Linked DNA regions of Astyanax mexicanus. The protein of the gene in region 2 interacts with the protein of the main gene of each other region in a biochemical or structural test. Links are inferred from orthologs where the notes say so. Each region holds a gene or a part of one and is shown on either strand. Other genes may lie near its edges.

What was found. The genes of interacting proteins can lie anywhere in the genome.
Region 1: the proteins of anapc2 (region 2) and pttg1 form a complex in vitro, tested with the Homo sapiens proteins (2 studies listed by BioGRID, with this or other methods). The link is inferred for Astyanax mexicanus from reciprocal best matches to the Homo sapiens genes ANAPC2 and PTTG1.

The regions. Positions count from the first base shown.
Region 1 is NC_064417.1:50,020,311-50,030,925, reverse strand, and holds the start of pttg1 (securin), read right to left. Parts: upstream 4,724-10,615; 5' UTR 4,568-4,723; intron 2,495-4,567; 5' UTR 2,486-2,494; coding exon 2,398-2,485; intron 1,609-2,397; coding exon 1,457-1,608; intron 1,344-1,456; coding exon 1,268-1,343; intron 1-1,267. Other genes in the region: gamma-aminobutyric acid receptor subunit pi, read right to left, coding at 6,703-7,032, 7,909-8,102, 9,170-9,322, 9,496-9,633. UniProt on the Homo sapiens protein: Regulatory protein, which plays a central role in chromosome stability, in the p53/TP53 pathway, and DNA repair. Probably acts by blocking the action of key proteins.
Region 2 is NC_064408.1:19,791,550-19,801,790, forward strand, and holds the start of anapc2 (anaphase-promoting complex subunit 2), read right to left. Parts: upstream 3,795-10,241; 5' UTR 3,609-3,794; coding exon 3,498-3,608; intron 2,538-3,497; coding exon 2,282-2,537; intron 2,095-2,281; coding exon 1,770-2,094; intron 1,550-1,769; coding exon 1,417-1,549; intron 862-1,416; coding exon 660-861; intron 233-659; coding exon 113-232; intron 1-112. Other genes in the region: ssna1 (Sjoegren syndrome nuclear autoantigen 1), read left to right, coding at 5,553-5,604, 8,148-8,347, 9,720-9,809. UniProt on the Homo sapiens protein: Together with the RING-H2 protein ANAPC11, constitutes the catalytic component of the anaphase promoting complex/cyclosome (APC/C), a cell cycle-regulated E3 ubiquitin ligase that controls progression through mitosis and the G1 phase of the cell cycle.

The DNA.
Region 1 (10,615 bases), on a different chromosome or scaffold from region 2:
GACCAGTGTATATTTTGGAGGCTTTTTTTTCAATAAGTTTTCAATAAATTTTTATAAATCAAATCGTTTTGAATCAAAAATCGATTTTGAATCGAATCGTGGCCCCCAAAATCGGAATCGAATCGAATCGTGAGATAGTAAAAGATTCCCACCCCTACTAGACATGGGCTATTGTACTCAGTTTTATTTGGATAAGCTATTTTTTTTTTTTTTTTAACCAAATAAACCAAATTACATAAGGCTTTCGTCTTACATTTTGGTGTGATTTTTTTTTTTTTTTTTTTTTACAACTCTTATTTTACATTAAGTCAAATGAGTTTGAAAATACCTGGGCGTGGGGTATTGTACCCACAGTTTCATTCAAATAAGCAATAAAAAAATAAAAAATATATAAAAAACCCAAAAAAATCAATTTTTACCAAAATTACCAAATTACGTAAGACTATAGCCGTTCATTTTAGTGTGATTTTGAATTAGATTTATCAAAATCTTATTTTGCATTAGCTTATAACTCAAAGGAGTTTAAAATATCTGTGCGTGGAGTATTACGAACAGTTTCATTTATATAAGCAATAAAAGCAATAATAAGCAATTTATACCAAAATTGATAATTACATAAACATTTAAGAAGGCCAATCATAATTTGATTTATTTCAGATGTTTTTTTTTTTTGTTTTTTTTTTACACCAGAAATAACAGCAACACATGAGATTTTAGACTTCTCTTTAGCTTTTTTTTTTTTTTTTTTTCCTTTAGCATTAACCTTAAAGCACTCAAATATTCTGTAAATAAAGTCAGATGAAGGAACAGAGTCACACACTGCTCTAGTGATGTACTCAGTATGTGTTATTTAAGGACTTGAGCCAAAATGAAAAGACAGTGAGTGTAGGAGCACCAAGTTTGTGCTGGAGATAAAAGTGGCTTCTTTTAACTGTGTTCCCTCATTTTCTGATTAAATTTTAAAATTGGCATCAATATAAGATCTGGTATCTTATGCATTAATGGGTTTTTGACACATGCATCACTACATGCTGTATTCTACAATGCATAATAAAGCAACTACACACTTGCAAAGGGCATTAAAAAAAATACAATTAGAATTTTCAGGTATAGAAACGTAAATGTCAGATGAATAAGATAAACCCAGTCAGCTTAAACAAAGTCAAAATATCAGCTGATTTCATCAAGACAAAATCCGAGGCCATGTACATAAATTGATAATTATGGTGACCGGCCTAAATATAACCAGTCTGCAAAAGAAACCTACCACTGGGGTTGTACGGGAAAAACTTCTCAATTTCAGGATAATCTTCACCAACAGGCTGAGAAGGAGCTTTGCATTGCTGGAACAAGGAAAAAAAAAGGAGGAAAAAGAAATTAAAATCTAAGAATTCTGCAAATAACTGATTCTGCACTGAGATTTTATATATAAAAAAAATAAAAACAAGTAACCAACCTGGGCTTCAACAGGTTTAACCTGCGCTTCACCTTTCTGAGAGACTGCTGAGGTGGACACAATCTTGTTAACTGTTCCCAAAGCTTTACGGGCCGACTGTACAGATCCACCAAGACGGCTCTTCAGGTGTAGAGGAGTTTTCAGAACCTGTTCTGTAAAAATTAAAAAGGAAACTGATCAGGATCAGAAAAGGAATCAGATCAATTAAATTCATTAAATGTGCATGTGTGACACACTAAGGGCTACAATACATGAATTATAGGAGTGACCGTATATTATCCTTTATTATCTATTATTTAAATACTGCAATTTGGTAAATACAATACATCCAATTATTTTAAATAAGTTAGACATATGACTTTAGCATCCAGGCATCTGTACAAGGTTGCATAAATCATAAGTCTAGTGCTGTTAGACAGCCAGTGTTGTTTATTTAGCAATTTGATCAGTAGATTTAGCAACTTTTCAGACCAATCTTACAAATTATATATTATATTATATTATATTATATTATATTATATTATATTATATTATATGACCTTTAACTCTCTGAATTGAACTTGTGGCATTCTACCTAATAGATTAATAATGGTATCTATACAGATATCTATACAGCTTAATCTATCAATTAAAACAAACAAATAAACAAATAAATAAATAAATACATCTCAGTAACTCAGTTTTTCGGGAGTTAAAGTGAGGTTTTGGGTCCCATTTTCACACACTGTAAATTTGATACTCAAGGAAACATTTAATGGATTAAAAGGTTCCCTTAAGAAAGCCCTCAGATAACTTCTTAGGCAACACACTTATCAACAAGGGATGATCATTAAGAGCATTAAAGCCTTTCATGCAACCAGGCACTGGTCCTTGGTGTTGTTACTATAGTGAGCAAAATTTCACTTTATGAGCACTTCATTCCCAGGTGTATCTAAGCTCACCAGGTGCAGACTGAAGCCTCTGTCGAGATTTGAGGTTGGGAGCGGTGAGCCTGCCGTTTTCTTGGTCGAGGTAAATCATGGTATCCATGGTGTTTCACTAAAAGAAGAATATTTAAAAGAAATACTTAGAACAAGTGAACAAATCACAAAAATTAACTACAATAATTTCTGAATAATCTAGCCAGCCAATATTTTTACCTTTAAATAAACACTGCAGTAGCACGGTTTGACAATGTAGCACACATTGACAAGACACCGGTTCTTTTTATTCTTGTAGTTATTATTTTGTTATGTTTATTAGTTTCAAAGTAATCGCAAAGTACAGGAAAACAGCACACATATATACATATATATACATACATACACACATACACTGTATGTATGTGTGTATGTATGTATGTATGTATGTATGTATAAATAAAGCAACTTCGCTACTAGTACTAAAAGACTATATGAAATAAGACAATGTTAACCTACATTTAAATGTTATACTGCCTTGTCCCACATTTCATAGTATAAGGCACACGTTGGATTAAAATAATGGACATAAAGGACACTTCTTCCATTAAAGAGTTTTCCCATACAGTTAAAGCTGGCTGTGGCTCTTTATGTTATGGTCTTGCCTCTACGGTGGCCGAGAAAGCCCAACGCAGTGCAAATTGAAAAGCGCTGCAAAAGCACAAAACACATCCATCAAAATTACAACACAGGCGCTGCAACTAGAAAAACGCGCTGCAAATAGAACCACAACACAACGGAAGTGAGTCACAACACAACGGAATTTTCCCGGGGGACCTTAAAAGATATACCAGCTAAGCTGCGTCTTCAGTAACGTCTCGGACTTCACTATGTGTACAAAGGACAATAAGTGGCAAACAAGGCGTTTTGTGAAGCAGAACTTTTAATAATATGCACACAACCGTGGTAATCACAGGTAATAAACATAACTTACTTTTCAGAAGCTTGTTTGCCACTTATTGTCCTTTGTATACAGCTGGTACAGCATCTTTTAAGGTCCCCCGGGAAAATTCCGTTGTGTTGTGACTCACTTCCGTTGTGTTGTGGTTCTATTTGCAGCGCGTTTTTCTATTTGCTGCGCCTGTGTTGTAATTTTGATGGATGTGTTTTGTGCTTTTGCAGCGCTTTTCAATTTGCACTGCGCTGGGCTTTCTCGGCCACCGTACTTGCCCCATGTGTAGTAGGTTAGCTACATCTTAACTAGGCTATAAGTTCGAGTAAAATGAACATTGTTGTTTTATTCTATAAACTACGGACAACATTTCTCCCAAATACCAAATAAAAATGTTGTCAATTAGAGCATTTATTTGCAAAAAAAAAAAAAATTGAAATAGCTGAAATAACAAAATAAAAAGATGCAGAGCGTTCAGACCTCAAATAATGCAAAAAGAAAAATACGTTCATATTCATAAAGTTAGGAGTTCAAAAATTATTATTTGGTAAAATAACCCTGGTTTTTAACCACAGTTTTCATTCATTTGCATGTTCTCCTCCACCAGTCTTACACACTGCTTTTGGATAACTTTATGCTGCTTTACTCCTGGTGCAAAAATCTATTCAAGCAGTTCAGTTTTTCAGGTTTTATGGCTTGTGATCATCCATCTTCCTCTTGCTTATATTCCAGAGGTTTTCAATTTGGTAAAAATCTAAGAACTTATTATTTTTATGTTGGTCTCCTATTTTTATACATTTTTTCGTTCTGCTGGAAAAAAAAAAATCCCTGATGTGGGAATAATAAAGTCAAATTTAGCTATGTAACATATTAAACGTTATCTTAATATATGACTTTCTCTAAGAATAATGATTTTAGGCTTTAAGTTACATCTGTATGTAAACTTAAAAGTAGTAACGTTAGCTAACATGATTTTATTGTCTGTATTAATAGGCAAGGAAACTATTTTTTACATATAACTTAAGCTAGTTTGTTTACAGACTGTCTCAATTTAAAAACAGAGAGAATATTGCTGGAAAAATGAGGTAAAGTCATCTAAAGTAATTAAATAATAAGTTAATAAGTAATTAAGTTTATAGAGATACTACGTTAACTGTTTCCCACTAAACTCACCCAGAATACACCTCAAAAACACTCAATAACAGCATAACACACAGCTACACACATCAACACGATGATAAACTATGTCTGTAAACTTACCAAACAGCGGATAATCCCCGATAAAGCGCAGAAATTTCGCAATAAATCGCAGTTTTCTCTCTGTAGATTAGTCAGGTTTCTCTCAGTAAATAAACGGACTTGTTTTGGTTTCAACTTTCCCGGTTTTAAACCCCAACTCGCCTCCTGATTGGCTGCTGCTCCGCCGCTCTTCCGCCGCGCTGTGTTCAGCTCTGTTTATTCTGCGGTGCTGCCGCCCTGGGGCCAGATCACACCACTGCGAGTTTATACAGCCATTATATACCATAAATTCTATTTATTATATTAATAGCAGAAATGTGTTCTTTTAAAGTAAAAAAGCATACCTGTCCTGATTATTTTTTTTTATAAACATTTACTAACCTTTAAAAAATACGGACGACAAAAAAATGACATACGTATAAATAAATAAATGCACATATATATATAACATGAATAAATATATAAAAACATGAACACACGCATAAATAGTTGTAGAGATAAATAAATTAATAAATACATGTTGAAAAACGACACACTTAAAATTATAATTAATTTTATAATATATCATTTTATAATTAAATAATTATTTCCATATTTTAATGCGTCAATATTAATTTATTCTACATTTATTTATTTGTTTCAACATTTGAACATTTATTTATTCATGTATTTCCACATTTCTTCATATATTATTTATTATTTATTTATTTATTTATTTATTTATTTCCACTTTTCATTTATTTCAGTATTTCTGCATTTGTATGTTAATTAGGTAGCTCTAAAGCAGGATTGGTCAACTGCTGAATCAGACGAAAGCAACTGGTTTCTTACTGCTCTAATGCAAATGAAACGCAAATTGAAATAAATTAATTAATATATAAATAAAAGCAGAAAAAAATAAATAAATAAATGTAGAAATACGTAAATTAATAAATCTATAAATACATAAAATGTATTTATTAATTCATGTATTTATCTATACATTTATTTATTTATTTAATCACTCCTTCATTTATATGTGCATTTGTTTATTTATACTCATGTCAGTTTTCATCCTCCTTTAAAAAATGCTTTTACTGTGGTAATTTCCGCAGACACATCACAATATGCAGATCAGTCTATCAATAATATGACCCCCCTGCTGACATCCAGAGGTTTCCTGCTGCTGCAGCTCAGCCAATCAGCTCTCCCTCCTGCCCCACCTCTAAACCCATACATCACTCAGTGCCCCTCCCAAACTTCCCCTCCCATTTTTTGCCTTTTTTAAATTTAAGCTGAGGGTGAAGTCAGCAAAAATCAGAAGGTTAAGTAACCCTTTAAACACCTGAAATAAGAGTCAGAAACGGCAAAATGCAAACAAAACTGCCATAACCGCCAATATTCAGCATATAAGCAACATTACAGCACCAATCAGCTCACAGTTGCAGTAATGCTACTGTACAAAAAATGGAAAAATACAGGTATGTTTTCTTTGATTATTTAGAGAAATACATAAATTTACTTCCCAAAATTAATGAAATACATTAGATAAGTAGTTAGTTACTATTTTTAAATAAGTGCTTAGCATTTAAGCTCCATTCAACAACATTTAACTCATTGGTATGATTTTCTGTGATAATAATGGAGATGGGAAATGGGCAGTTTCTCTATAAACCGTCTCTGGGTGAAAGTCAATAAAACCCCAAAAATTCAAGCAAACAAACAGTAAGTCGATTGATAGTTTAATAAGTATTAATAAATGAATCATATTGCAGCCTATACAGAAGTGCACAAACAGCATACACATGGAATTTATCAGCCAATAACAATCAGATTCCCTATGCTCAATCTTGCAATAAATAAATAAATAAATAAATAACTGTATACATTTTTAACGATGTAGAAACATGAAGGCCATTATATATATATATTATATGGAAGCCAACAACAACAAAAATACTGAATAGTCACTGAATTTTTTCCTTTGTGCTTGTGTTTGATTTGTGTGATCTGTTGTCTACGTTGTCGTCGTCTGTTGTTTGAATGGACTGCTGGTCCAGTTCAGCATTACAGGGCACTTAAAGACTTAAAGAGTGTTTTCAGTCGTGAGTTTAGTCCTCGGAGTCGCCGGGTTCACTAGGCCATTGTGCGTAGATGAGTCCAGTGCGTCTGTTTGATTAGATGAAAAGGTAATACAGCCAGTATAAGATGTTGACCAGGAGAAACGCCACAGGGAACAGGGTGCGGGAGTGGCGGTCGATGTTGTGGGGGTTCTCCACGCTCATCATGGACGCCGCCCTGCGCGACGCCTGCTTCACCGAGGACAGACCACAGCCGTTCCCCTGCTTATTCTCTGTTTGCTCGTCTCCCTCAGACTGCACAGACTGCACAGACTGCTCGCTCATCTCTGGCTGTGTTTCTTTGCTCAGGGCTTTGTTGGGTGTGGTGGACGTCACTAATTGGATGGTGCCGTTTCCATTCGACTCCTCAAACTCCTTCAGAAGCTCCTGAGACAAAGTGAATAATATAAGTAAACAAAATTGTAGTAAGTTATACTTTAAAGCATTGAATTGTCATAATAAAACAAATGTAATTGTCATTTTTAATGGTTTATGTCTTTAAGAAAAAATAGAAAATACTTGAAAAGTTATTTTATTTCAATAATTCAGTTTAAAATGTGAAACTCATATATTATATAGATAATACTATTACCCACAAATGTATCTATTTTAGGCATGTATTTATTTCATTGTTGATGATTGTGCCTTACAGCCAAAAATAAAATAAAAATGATTATTATATAAGACCAATTTATACTTTTTAGCAGTGTGGGCAGTGTGCCAATTCCTGCTGGAAAATGAAATCCGCATCTCTATAAAAGTTGTCAGTAGCAGAGGGAAGCATGAAGTGCTGTAAGATTTTGTGGGAAAACAAAACTGCACTGACTTTAGACTTGATAATAAAACACAGTGGATCAACACCAGCAGATGACAGACATGTCTCTCCAAACCATCACTGATTGGTGGAAACTTCACACTAGACCTCGAGCAGCTTGGACGGTGTGTCTCTCCACTCTTCCTCCAGACTCTGATCTCTTGATTTACAAATGAAATGTAAAATTTACTGATGATCAGTGATGGTTTGGAGAGACATGTCTGTCATCTGCTGGTGTTGATCCACTGTGTTTTATTATCAAGTCCAAAGTCAGTGCAGTGTTTTCCCAATTGGTGGTATATAATGTTAAAATTTTCTGAGACACTGATTTTTAGGTTTTCATTGGCTGTAAGCCATAATAATCAACAATAAAATAAATAAAGACTTAAAATAGATCACTCTGTGTGTAATAAATATTTATATATGTAAAATATACACAGAACACTTACCCTCTGTACATCTAGAATAGTTTGGTGCTGCATGGTGCAGAAATGTGCACAGGCGTACTCCAGCAGAGCTCCGAAGATGAAGGTGAAGCAAATACCAAGATAGACATCTATGGCCTTGATGAAGCAGTTGGCGTTGGGCAGTGATGTCCTGGCACCCATCATCAGAGTCGTCATCGTCAGAACTGTGGTCACTCCTGTGAAAAATACATATAATAGATAATAGATCACCAACTCTACCTCTTCACAACTTTACAACTGATGCTCTCAAACACTTTAAGAGGCAAGAAATTGAAGTAATTAACTATTGATGAGTTCGGCACAGCTGTTAACTGAAAGCCTGAAATTCTAGGTGATCATCCTCATAAAACTGACTGAAATAAAGGGTCTAATTTAAGTTAAAATGTAAACATTTTTTACAATTTTTCATTTATAAAATAATTTCATATGTATTTCTGGTAACACTTTATTTTAAGGAACACAAATTAGGCGCTTATTAATGTCTTGTTATTTGCTTTAATTAGACATTTGTAAATTATTTATTCACTAATTATGAGGCTTTATTCTGTGTCATAAGTGTTATTGGTGCTGAATTAGGGGTCTATTATGTGGAAATTATTAATAATAGCTGTATTATTTCTTATAGTGCACAATAAACAGTTATGTCAGCACCCTGTTAATCAGATTATTAAGCATTAATTATTAGCTAATTCTACATGTTATTAGTGTTATTATAATTGGCAGCAGTTTGATCTATGTGAGTTTATGGTAAGGTTATGGCTGTACTGAAGTTTATTGAGCTATTAAGGGGTTAATAAGTCAGTAATAGACCAAGATGTGCACCATATTGTAAAGTGAGCTTCTGTTCATCACTAATTACACGCTAAAAAGAACTGAATAAATATTTAATCAATCACAGACCCCTAATTAAGCACCAATAACACTTAATAACACAGAATAAAGCCTAATAAGTAGTGAATAAATCATTTACAAATGTCTAATTAAGGCTTTATTAAGCAAATAATAACACATTAATAAACGCCTAATTTGTGTTCCTTAAAATAAAGTGTTACCGTCTTTCTTAATAGTTTGGATGATGAGTATTAATCTGCAATTCAGAAAATGTAAAAATAATAAAAACTTTTGACTGGATTTTTTTTTTTTTTTTTTTAAGCAACCGATATTAGCTTTAAGAGGAGTTTATATAGGTTGCTTTAATTTATTTAAAAATGGCAAAATTAAAAAGGAAATGTAAAAATCTCACCTATACAGGTTCGAGCAGGAACTGAGGACTGGCTGATCCAGAAAGACACCCAGGACAGAACCACCAGCAGGGTGGACGGGACGTACGTCTCCAGGATAAAGAACAGAACGTTTCTCCGCAGAGAGAAGTGCAGCACCAGCTTCGGGTAAGAACCTGCACACAGAGTCAATACAGTAACGCTGAATATTACCAATACACAGCCACAGTGGAACTGACTGACTGATTAACTAGTTGATCGATTAGATGGAATAATCTACATCATACAGACTCATTTAACTGTAAAAATGAATTGAATTAATGAATTAATGATGAATAATTCAGTTTACCTGTTTCATACACGGCCTCAGACACAGTGGTGTGATAGCTCTCTACGCTGTACTGAGCCAGACGGAGTGTGTCCAAACCCTTCACAGAGTCATTCCCTCGAGTCCAGTAAAACACCACGTCCTGCAGATTATAGCCCCCTAAACACACACACACACACACACACACACACACACACATAAAGCTTATAGTCACTGTTGGAACATCTTTTTTTTATTTTAAATTAATAGTGGTCCTGTTTTATTAAAGACGGACCAATAGAAATAACCCTAAATTACTTTTCGCCTTTTCGCCACTTAATTACATTTTCTTATAACTAAATTCTACACACACTCAACACACACCCGTGAGAAGAAGCAGCCAATCGTGCACAGCATACTCTCAACCGGAAACAACCGTATACCAGGCACTGAGGAGCCAAAACATTCATTGTCAATTCATGTCTGGGCATACAGTCACACACACATTCACACATCAGGGCAATTTTTAGAGTATTAAATTTTGGGGGAAATTTAAAATATGATATTTACATGATCCCCATCCATATAGGGACTTGAACCCAGGACCTCACCACTGGAAGGTGAACATGCTAACCACTAAACCACCATGTATTAAAAGTTTCAAATATTTTTGGAGACACTTTGGGAGAATCTGCAGGTTGGAAATAAATCATAAATTATATGCAGTGTAAAATTAATGATTTGCATTTTTGTAGTAAAAAATACCTTGAAATGCCTATGAAAAGTTCACTATTAGGCATTAGGCCTTGTTAAACCAATGTGTTCCTTACTCACAAGATAACACCTCACCACATATATATATATATATATATATATATATATATATATGTGTGTAGGTGTGGGTGTTCTTGGGCCGTCTCCTGAAGATGCACTTCCTGAACAAGTTACATACTGCTATTCCATGACTTTTGGCATGCCCTTCTGCTGTCAAACTCAATAGAACTAAGCCTAGTTAATAAGTGATGCTTTGTTAAAGTTTTAGAAGTCACCAACAATAGCCAAAAATAAAATATCAAATATAGAAAAGAAAATATTATTAGCTGTTATCATTATTATTACTGATGTTCTTGTTTTGCACAAAATTAATGTACTTAATTACAAC
Region 2 (10,241 bases):
CTAAAATATAGATAGAGATATATAGACAGACAGACCAAAATAAAACAATAAATGTGTTTAAATAAGGCCATTAATGTCATTTTCAGTTATAATGCACACCACCACCCCTGACCTGGGTGCAGCAGACGTGTCTCAAAAGCGGACTTGAGTGAGGTGAGCAGTTGCTGTCTCTGATTGGTCCGCTCCAGGCAGAACTTTAAGTCTTCAATGGCAGGGATGGACTCCGGGAAATCTTAAGTAGGCAAAAGAGTAAAAGAGTGGAAAAAATGAATGAATAATTAAAAGACTAACGGCTAGCTTAATATATGAATAAACTCATATGTTACATGAATATATGAATTGTCATTATAGCTACTGAATACTCATATAATTCTTTAGAAATATTATTAATTAATTTAACCATACACATCTTGATTCAAAGTAAACCCAAAAGAACTGTGACAGTCACAGGCCCTTTAAAACTTGTGTAAGGTTTCTTACAGCACTTACAGCATTTACTTTATATACTGAACGACCTGAGAGCATCACAGCACAGTTGGAAATTGTGTGATCAAGTGACCTTATTTACAGAATGTAGGAGTGCTAAGTTAGTGCTTGAGTTAAAAGTAACTATTCTTAAATGTGTATATTTTTTAAAAAAAGGTCATTTGACTTTTTACCTCGAATGATGCTGAAAAGCTCATCGATCCTCATGTTAACGTAAATGCGGCAAAAGAACTGGTGCATGTGGCAGCGCCAGCGTTGGAGGATGGCACTGCCAGGCTGGTCAGGTTTTCCTTTGGCAGCTACAGAATCAGTGCCAGCCTCGTCCACTTCACTGGCAAAGACTCTGCTCAGCCAGCCGAGCACCTGCTCCAACCACTAAAGCACAAACAGAGGACACTAATGTGCAAGAATTTATAACATTTTCAACAATAACATTTTCATGTTACTGTATTTAAAAAAGCTGTTATTTATGTCTCTGGTGTCATTTATTAGGACAGTATAATCTATTAATATAACACAGTTATTATTTAATAATAAAGAGTATAAAAAAACCCTCAAATTTCTGCAGATCTTTAAGTATAGGTTTTCATGGGATGAAACTGACAAAATGACACTGACACAATGAAGAGTAGTCTGTGTGTAGATTATATGACAGTGTATTTATTCTTCCCTCAAAATAACTCAATAACATTTCGTTTAGACATTAATGGCTGTACGTTGAGTTATTTTGAGGGAAGAATAAACTTACACTGTTATATAATCTATACACAGACAAAATGACACTGACACAATGAAGAGTAGTCTGTTTCATCCCATGAAAAGATATACTTAAATATCTGCAAAACTGTGAGGAATAACAAACATAGATTGTTCAGTCCTTAAAACAAAACAACAAATTGACCATTAAAATATATGCCAGAATCCTCATACTTCATTGAAGTCTGCCAGAAAGGAATTCTCATATTCTCCCCGGCACCGCTGCTCCATCCTCTCCTCGATCAGTCGGTGCAGAATGCTGGTCACTGCTTCCGAGCTAACCCTCCCCAAGAGCTGCAGTCTGGATCTGCCACACACCATTATAACAACAACACATAAAAAGTTACATCACAGCACCCAATGCTTGTACATCTGTATGGCAAATTCTTCTTTTCCAGCATGGAATATGTAATCATATTGATGTCTTCTCTTTTTACCATGGTGCTGTAGCAGAACTATATCCCACCCATGTAAATTACATTACACTATATTACAAAACAATGCAATCCCAATATTCCTGCACTCACAGGATGTGGCTAAGCTCCTGCAGCTGCTCCAGGGCCTCCTTGCACCAGCACAGCTGAGGTGGGGTTGCACAGCCTGGACAAACACAGGCCCCGTCAGCCTCCTCTGCTCCCTGCTCCACCTCCAGACCCTCTCCCACCTGGCTCATGTGCACAGAGAAGGTGCGACTGTAGAACTCCAGCACCCTCTTTTGGAGCACTGGCTGAGGAGAAAAGAGGAGGATAGCACGAATGACCGAGAAGGCCCTCTCTCGGAGCCCATGGGCTCCAGGGCCCACCAGACCCCCACGACCTTCATCCTGCCAAGACCCAAGCTGCTCAAGCCCACCTGGAAGTTTAGAAACAGATGAGAAAAAGGAAAGATGATGAACGGTGATGAATAATGAATAATAATAAGGTTTGTTCACCTGCAACTGAATCAGCACATTTCTGACAAAAATTGCAAGCATTCAAGCACTGCAATCTCCATTTGATTTAGAACAGTACCTACAAAAACAGAAGAAAACATAGCTTACCAAGAAATGGTTCAAGGCGCAGCAGCAGAGTCCTGAACGCATCTAGCAAACATCTTGCTCTGTCTTTCTCCTGTGAATCTCCTTTAGGCTGCTCTAAATTACTCCAGAACTCCGGAGCCACATCAGTGGTCAAACGAACCTGCAAGGTCTCCAGCAGCCAGCCCTCCACATACTGAGCCAGCCCTTGTTCACACAGCAGAGCCAGAGCATCAGAAATAGTGTCATCAGGAACTGAAGGCGGTACTGCAGGAGAAACCTACAGGATGCAGATGTGAGTTAATTTTTTTTTTTCTACTATTTTTTTAAACATTGTATATGTGTATACATTTAAGATATAACAATTAAGGGACACGTGAAATTACAAAGTAAACAAAAAAGTGTTTGTCCTCCACAATCTCCTGGTCTAAACCTGATTAACTAAGATGGCAATTTGGGATGATCTGGAGCTTTACAGTATGAAGGAAAAGCAGTAACTATTGTTCAGCCCCTCCAGAAACTCCTTCAAGACGTTGAGAAAACTATTCCAGGTGACTCTCCCTCATAAAGACCCTGAGATTAAAATACTGTACCAAGAGTGTGCAGATCTGTCATCAAAGCTAAATGTGGTACTTATAAAACATATACTGGTTTGTTTAACACTTTCAATTTAGAAAATATTTCAGAATATGTTCCTGTATAGCTTTAATATTGTCTTCAATATTACATTTATAATGTAAAAGAAAAAAAATCATAGAAAGAAAAGAAACACATCACGAAAAAATATTTTGTTAACGCAAAAGTGCCCTGAAATATCGTAATATTTTTGTCAAATAGAGCACAATTAGTTGGGATATATTATTCATTGGCTAATGTGTGTTTGTACCAAGCATCTACATTAACATATACGAATGTAAATATACATTTGCAAGCATAAAACGCTTACACCTCCAAAACTATTAGAATTGAAAGAGCAAAAACTTGACAAAACTTGACTGTTCTTGCATCACAACATATATATAACTGTAAACTGGAGATCAGTGCAGCCAGCTGACCCTGTCTTTGTGCTGTACTGCAGGATGTTTACACTATTAGCAGGCTAGCTAGCTAACCTAGACTGTATGTATCAGATTAAGAATAGCCCGAACTACATTCCTACATCATAATAATAAACGTTACTCAGCTCAGTGATAACCCTGAGGACTGTCAGTGCCTATATATCTGCACAGCAGCAGCTCACCAGAGCAGCGGTGACCGCGGCCCAGGCTGCAGGCAGACCCGGGGGAACCAGCACCGCCCCGCCGTCCTTCATTCCCCCAGCTCCGCGGGTCCGACCACCGCCTACAAACATACAGCCCGCCGTCCCCGCAGCATTTCTACCGAACAGCCCGCGCCCCGAGGTTCTGTACCGCCGTGTGCAGTGATTACAGCGGCTTAGCTTCAGCAACTCGAGCTATACGATCTCCATTAGCTCTGGTTCTCCTGCTGCTGCTGTTTATTTCCGCGCTCTTCTTCAAGCTGCTGTCCCTCAGTGATGACGTCCACGACCCGATGACGCTGAAAAGGCTGTATTTTTTTATCCACAGGAAATTACATGTCTAAATGTGCACACAAAATACATTTTATTGTTAAACACAGTGTCTTGTACATAGACCTACTTGCAAATGTAAGATATGTGACTAAAAACATTCATAAAAACTAATTGGAACACTGAAAAAATACCATTTGTTACCTGTATCCCCACTTATTATAACCTTACCATAAAATATACAGCTCTGGAAAATATTAAGCAGCTCCAACTTGTTGCAAATGTGGTAAAATGAAAAAAGCTTAGATTTTTCTTTTCACAGTTTTTTATTTTACATTTGACTGGGAAATACCTGTATGATAATGAAAGTGAAATGGCAAAAGGCCATTTTAAATTGCAAATGAAGGGTTTTAATTTTGTTTGTAATTTTTGCCATTATATTTTCACACGTTTTGAGAAACAAGTATGCAAAATGGATTTACATCCTATACAACAGTGCTGATCAATCCTTCGGTCTCTATTGAAAACAAAACTGGACAAAATAAAAACTTGATTAGGTAGCTATTGTATACAAGCTTTTACGATTTACAAATGCCAAAGCTATGAAGTAAAACCATGTTGAGTAAAAAAATCTTTATATATTTCTATTTAGCAACCTAGAAAAATGAGAATAGCTTCAGAAAGGAATATTAATCTATTATAAATACATATTTAAATAGATTTCCTGACTAGACAAACCCAGTTTCATGCAAAACTGTTAAAAAAAATAGTTAAAAAAGAAACACTAGCTTAGCCGCGCCCACATCACTGGAAAAAACAAGAGCGTTGTACTTAAATTCAAGGGATAAGATTGTGGAATCATTTGGAGAGTGACGTTAAATATGCTAGAACAATGTATGTGTTAAAAAGAATGATAAAAGTTGGTTTGTTTAAAAAAAATTAAATAGTATAATGTGTATCTATACGAACTGTTGTTTGGGAAGGATTTGATGTTTTTGTTTAGTTTTGTTTTTTTGGTAAATTACTAATGTTTGAAAATATTCTTGGAACAAATGAGGCAGATATTCTAACATTTTTTTTCTTCTTTCTGCTGCATTTGATTTTATTTGTGATTTGTATTTGTATATAGAATTAATTTTGTTTATAATGAAATTAATCAATCTTCTAAAAAAGAATAAAAGCTAATTGATGCAAATGTTATGTACTTTTTATTTTGTATTATTTTTACTGTGTAGAAATGGTTTGTGAAATTAAAGGTCAATATCAAATTTAAAACACAGGCTTCCAGTACAATGGACATAAAAAAAACTATTAGATATTTTAGTTAATTGGATTTAACTGGACGTCATATTAGAGTATTAGATTATTATTTTTTGTGCATTTTTTATTTTATATTTTATATTTATATTTGTATATTTTCATTGTAATATAACGCTGAAAGGTCTGAAGGGGTTAAAGCTGTATTTTATTCCTCTCCAGTCCAGCAGGGGCGGAGTCGCGCTGAACTGCAGTGTCTCCACCCGCCATAAGGCGCGTTATTTCAGGAGGAGAAGAAGAAGAGCTGCAGGCTGAGGTTGTTGTAGAAACAGAAGGAGGCTGGAGTCAGAGGGAGTGAATGGATTCAGCTCAAACTTTCTATTAAGAGTGAAGTTACAGCTGTGCGATAAACTTGTATATACGAGGAGTGTGAGGATTTTAGAGATATCTAACCTATCTTATTTAATCTAACTTTACTTTACTGCTGAGCTGAAACTCAGTACAGTCAGCATGACCCAACAAGGAGCCGCTCTACAGACCTACAACAACGAGCTGGTGAAGTGTGAGTAACTCTACATTAACTCTGTTATATTAATAAAGTCTATTATAGTAATGTAAAACTGTTAAATTAAAGTTCTGACTGTGTTTTACTGGTTGTTTCAGTGACTGTCGGGGTTAATGTTAATGTTGAGCTATGTGAGCTGACAGTTGGTGGACTGAGATTAGCTGAGTTAGATTAAGTAAACTAGGTTAGGTAGTTTTAAGGTAGCTGCTGTCAGACCCAGCCTTACTTTGCAGGCCTTCCATTAAAATTCATGTTATTTAGCTATATATCTTACTATATACAGTACCTTCCAGTCTAACGTTTGTTAAAACATTCCTATATTTATATATTATTTATTTGTATTATTTACTACATTGTAGCATGAGTTATCTTTTACTGAAAAAATACAACATGCTATAATGTTAACAAAATGTGAGGTTTTCATTTATAAACAATTTAAAAAGGCGAAAATTCAGAGACCACTTCAGTTTCTGAATTGGTTTCTCTGATTTTGTTATTTATAGGTTTATGTTTGTGTAAAATGAACATTGTTGTTTTATTCTATAAACTACAGACAACATTTCTCCCATACAAAAATGTCATTTAGAGAATTTATTTGCAGAAAATGAGAAATGGCTGAAATAACAAAAGGATTTAGAGCTTTCAGACCTTAAATAATGCAAAGAAAACAAGTCCATATTCATAAAGTTTAAGATACATTTTTGATGGAATAACCCTATTTTTAATCAGTTTTATGCACCTTGGCATGTTCTCTTCCACCAGTCTTGCACACTGCTTTTGGATAACTTTATGCCAGTCCTGGTTCAAAAATTCAAGCAGTACAGCTTGGTTTGATGGTTTGGGTTGGCCTATATGGTTATATTGATATAATATACACTGCATGAAATAAAATTGCCACCTGGATTTAAGTAAGTAAATGATGTGGGGTTGATGCTGCAGTAGGTCAGGTCTAGGTTAAGCAACAGTATGTGCTGAAAGAATGAGGGCAACTGAGTCCAGACCTTAACCTCATTGAGAATCTTTGGGATGTGCTGAAGAAGGCTTTGTGCAGTGGTCAGACTCTACCATCATCAATGCAAGGTCTTGGTGAAAAATTAATGCAACACTGGATTGAAATAAACATTGTGACATTACAGAAGCTTATTGAAACAATGCCACAGTGAATGTGTGCTGCAATCAAAGAAAAAAAAATTGGTGGTGGTGTTGCCTTTTTTATTTCTTTTTTTGGGCCAGGTAATGTTTACACATGCTTGTTTGGCACACCCCTATACTTAGTACGAGGATTTGCTGTACTATATCAAATAAACTTACACTGTCTGTAACTACTCAGTGTTCATAAAACACTAAAGAACAAAAATCTTATGCATTTATACTACAAACTGAATCATTTATTGCGTATACTGAGTAACAGGTCTTGGAACTAAAATTAAAAAAGGTAGGGTTCAAGAGGTCAGGACAAAGCCAACACACCCACATCCCTCCGTCATTATCACTTTTACATGATTCAGCAAGATGTCTGCTGTGATCTATAAGTAAACAAACTCCCACTGAAGTTCCATTACCTGGACTTTGCAGTAATTAACTGCGTAGATCATGTTGATGCTTTACTTGTCATAGTGTTTGTGGATACTCCTTCCAAAGAATGCATTCAGCTATTTCCAGTTGCACCCAGTGCTGACACAGACGTGCAAGTGCACACAAATATAGCTTGTCTAGTGCCTGTGGAGAAGTATTGCCTATAGAATAGGACAGATAAACATGAACATGTTGGCACCATGCATAAGGGGATGGGATGGATTAGGATGGGGAGTTGTGTGGTCACTGTTCTTGTCACTAAAGGCAATTAAATTCTCACAGCAATGCTCCAAAAGTCTTTCCTGGACAGTAGAGATAATTGTTTCAAAAATTACTTCAAAAAAGCAGAATAAACAAAGAAACAACGACTGAGCAAGATGTCTTCATCGTTTTGGATGTATAGTGGATGTACATTAGGAGTGGGCAATATGGCACTAAAATTATATCATGATATTTTATGATATTTTCGCAATAATGATACTTTTGGCAATATGACAAAACGCTGAATAAAAAAAACAAATATTTCAAGAACACACTACTGCAAAAAAAAAAAAGAAAATATTGTTTTATTATTGAAATTTTATTATTTATTATACAAGAATTTTATCAGATTTGTAACAGAAGTCAATGATCCAGAATGTCATGATATTAATAATGCACTCCAAATATCTCCATATATCCAGGATTAGAGTAAAAGAAATAAATGATACTGGACAGATATAATTTGTCTTTAGTAGATATATAATGGGAAATGAAAGCAGTGTGATTTTTTTTTTTTGTATAAAAACAGTAAAAAAATAAATAAATAAAAAATTGTTATATAATTAGGGGTGGGTGATATGGCACCATATTTCAAGGTATAATATTGTTCACAATTTAAAAAATGTACATGCATTAGATGTGTAAAACCTATTGTAAGAGCAAGTTGTCCATTTATGCTTAATATCACAGTTGTTTCTTCTCAGGTATCGAGGAGCTGTGCTTTAAGAGGGATGAGCTGAATAAGCAGATCCAGCAGGAAGAATCAGAGAAGGCTCGTCTTCAGCACGACATCCGGGTGCTGACTGAGAAGCTGAGCCGGGTGAACGAGAGCCTGGCCCACCGCCTCACGGCTCGAGCTGAATTCGACCGCACCATCGCTGAGACTGAGGCCGCGTACATGAAGGTCAGCATCCAGGCATTTAAAAATAAATAAATAAATACATTTTGTAAATCCTGGACAGTGTTTGAGTCTTATAATTGGCCCAGTAATCCTGGGCCATGTCTACTGTGTGCAGACACTTCTGTGAGAGGATAAGAGCCAGTGAGCCAATCTGACGCAGCTTCTTATTTTGTAAACTGTAGTTGAAAAGAGCTAAATAATATTTATTTACAGTATGTGATTAGGGGTGGGAATCACAGGGCACCTGATTATACAATATTATTATGAGATGTTGCCCACAATAACGATGATGTCACAATACTGTGATTCTGAAATTTTAATGTATATTTCACAGCACTTTGTTACTATATGAAATGGCAGGAATTATGGATTTAATCTTTACTGCAGGTTTACCCTATTTATTTAAATAGCACCACCAGTAACTCAAATTGGGAGCGATTAGAGCACTCATGTTTCAATAGCAGTAACATTTTTTTTCTGGTTATTTATAATTCCTGCAGTATGTAATATATTCATTAAAAAACTGTAGACTGTTTTTTCTTTTTCTTTTTTTAAAGCATGTTGAGTATTTTGAGAAACAATTTCCTTAATTAAATTTATTTTTTTTACGTTTGTTCGACATAATTGTTCTTCTTCTTTCGACAGTGTTTAATAAATAAAAACAATATTTAAATGTGGAATTACTCATTAACCTAACTAATATTCAACTAAAGATTATTTTCTACACTCTTATATGCAGAATCAATTCAGATCAGCTTCATGCGTCAGGTTCAGTCTAGCCAGTCACTTCACAGTTCCAGTTCTCTGCCCCAACACTCCTAATCTAATTGTCAACTGATTTAACAATACTTGCGTACACTGATGAAAGGAAACTGGTCAGGTTAAACTATGGTAAAATGTATTTTCACAAATTTAAATACATTTTCATGATTCACAGTATTTATATTGACACACGTTCAGTCAATATTCATAAGTGATGACAGATTCTTAAAAAACACAATTTAAATACTTTTTAAATACTATTTAAATACCATACAGAGTACAGTGACTTCTGTTTAGGTTAAACTTAAATTCATCAAATTAAACCAGACTGACATACCATATGTAGTTGGTTATAGTTGGGTCAGGGTTCTTTAAGCACTATTGAATTCCTTGATATTCTTAGAAATTTGATTAATCGATTAAGAATATATTAAAACAGGGCCCACGTCTGCCTGAAGTAATCACTCAAGTAGTTTTATTTTTCAAAAAAACAACTTCTTGCTTTTAAGTTGTAAGTGTATTAAGACTGGATAATTCATTTTCCTTATGTTTAAGTGAAATTAAATAGCAATTACTCTTTCTCCACCTGCTAATTTCTGTATTTTTTTTTTAGATTCTAGAAAGTTCTCAGACGCTGCTGAGTGTTCTTAAAAAGGAGACGGGGAACCTCACCAAAGCTGTTGAACCCAGGAAAGATCATTGATGTTGATCTCCATTCTAAATGTCCCACTCTTTTCTGTGTTGTCTTGTCCTGTAATGTTCCCTCTCTTATCTGTATTGTTTTATTGTTTAAATGCCTCACCAACACTTTTTTGTTTTCATAGATGACCCCTGTATCTTAACAGTGTAGATAGTGGTTATTGATATTGAATGAAATGTCTATTTCAGGAAATCTTTATATATAAATGAGATGTTTTTAATAAAGATTATTTCTAGTAAATTCTTGTTTCAGGCTGTAGTTTGTTTGTTTGCCAAAAATACACCATTTCAAAAGTCTAGTTAAAAGGAGTTTGTCACAATTGGTTTGGTTATCCAGTTGAAATGTCCTACTTGGAACTCATAAATTCTGACATCCAAGTTCAAACAGCAGCATAAACTTTGTTAAAGACTGAACCTGTTTACACCTGGCATTGCC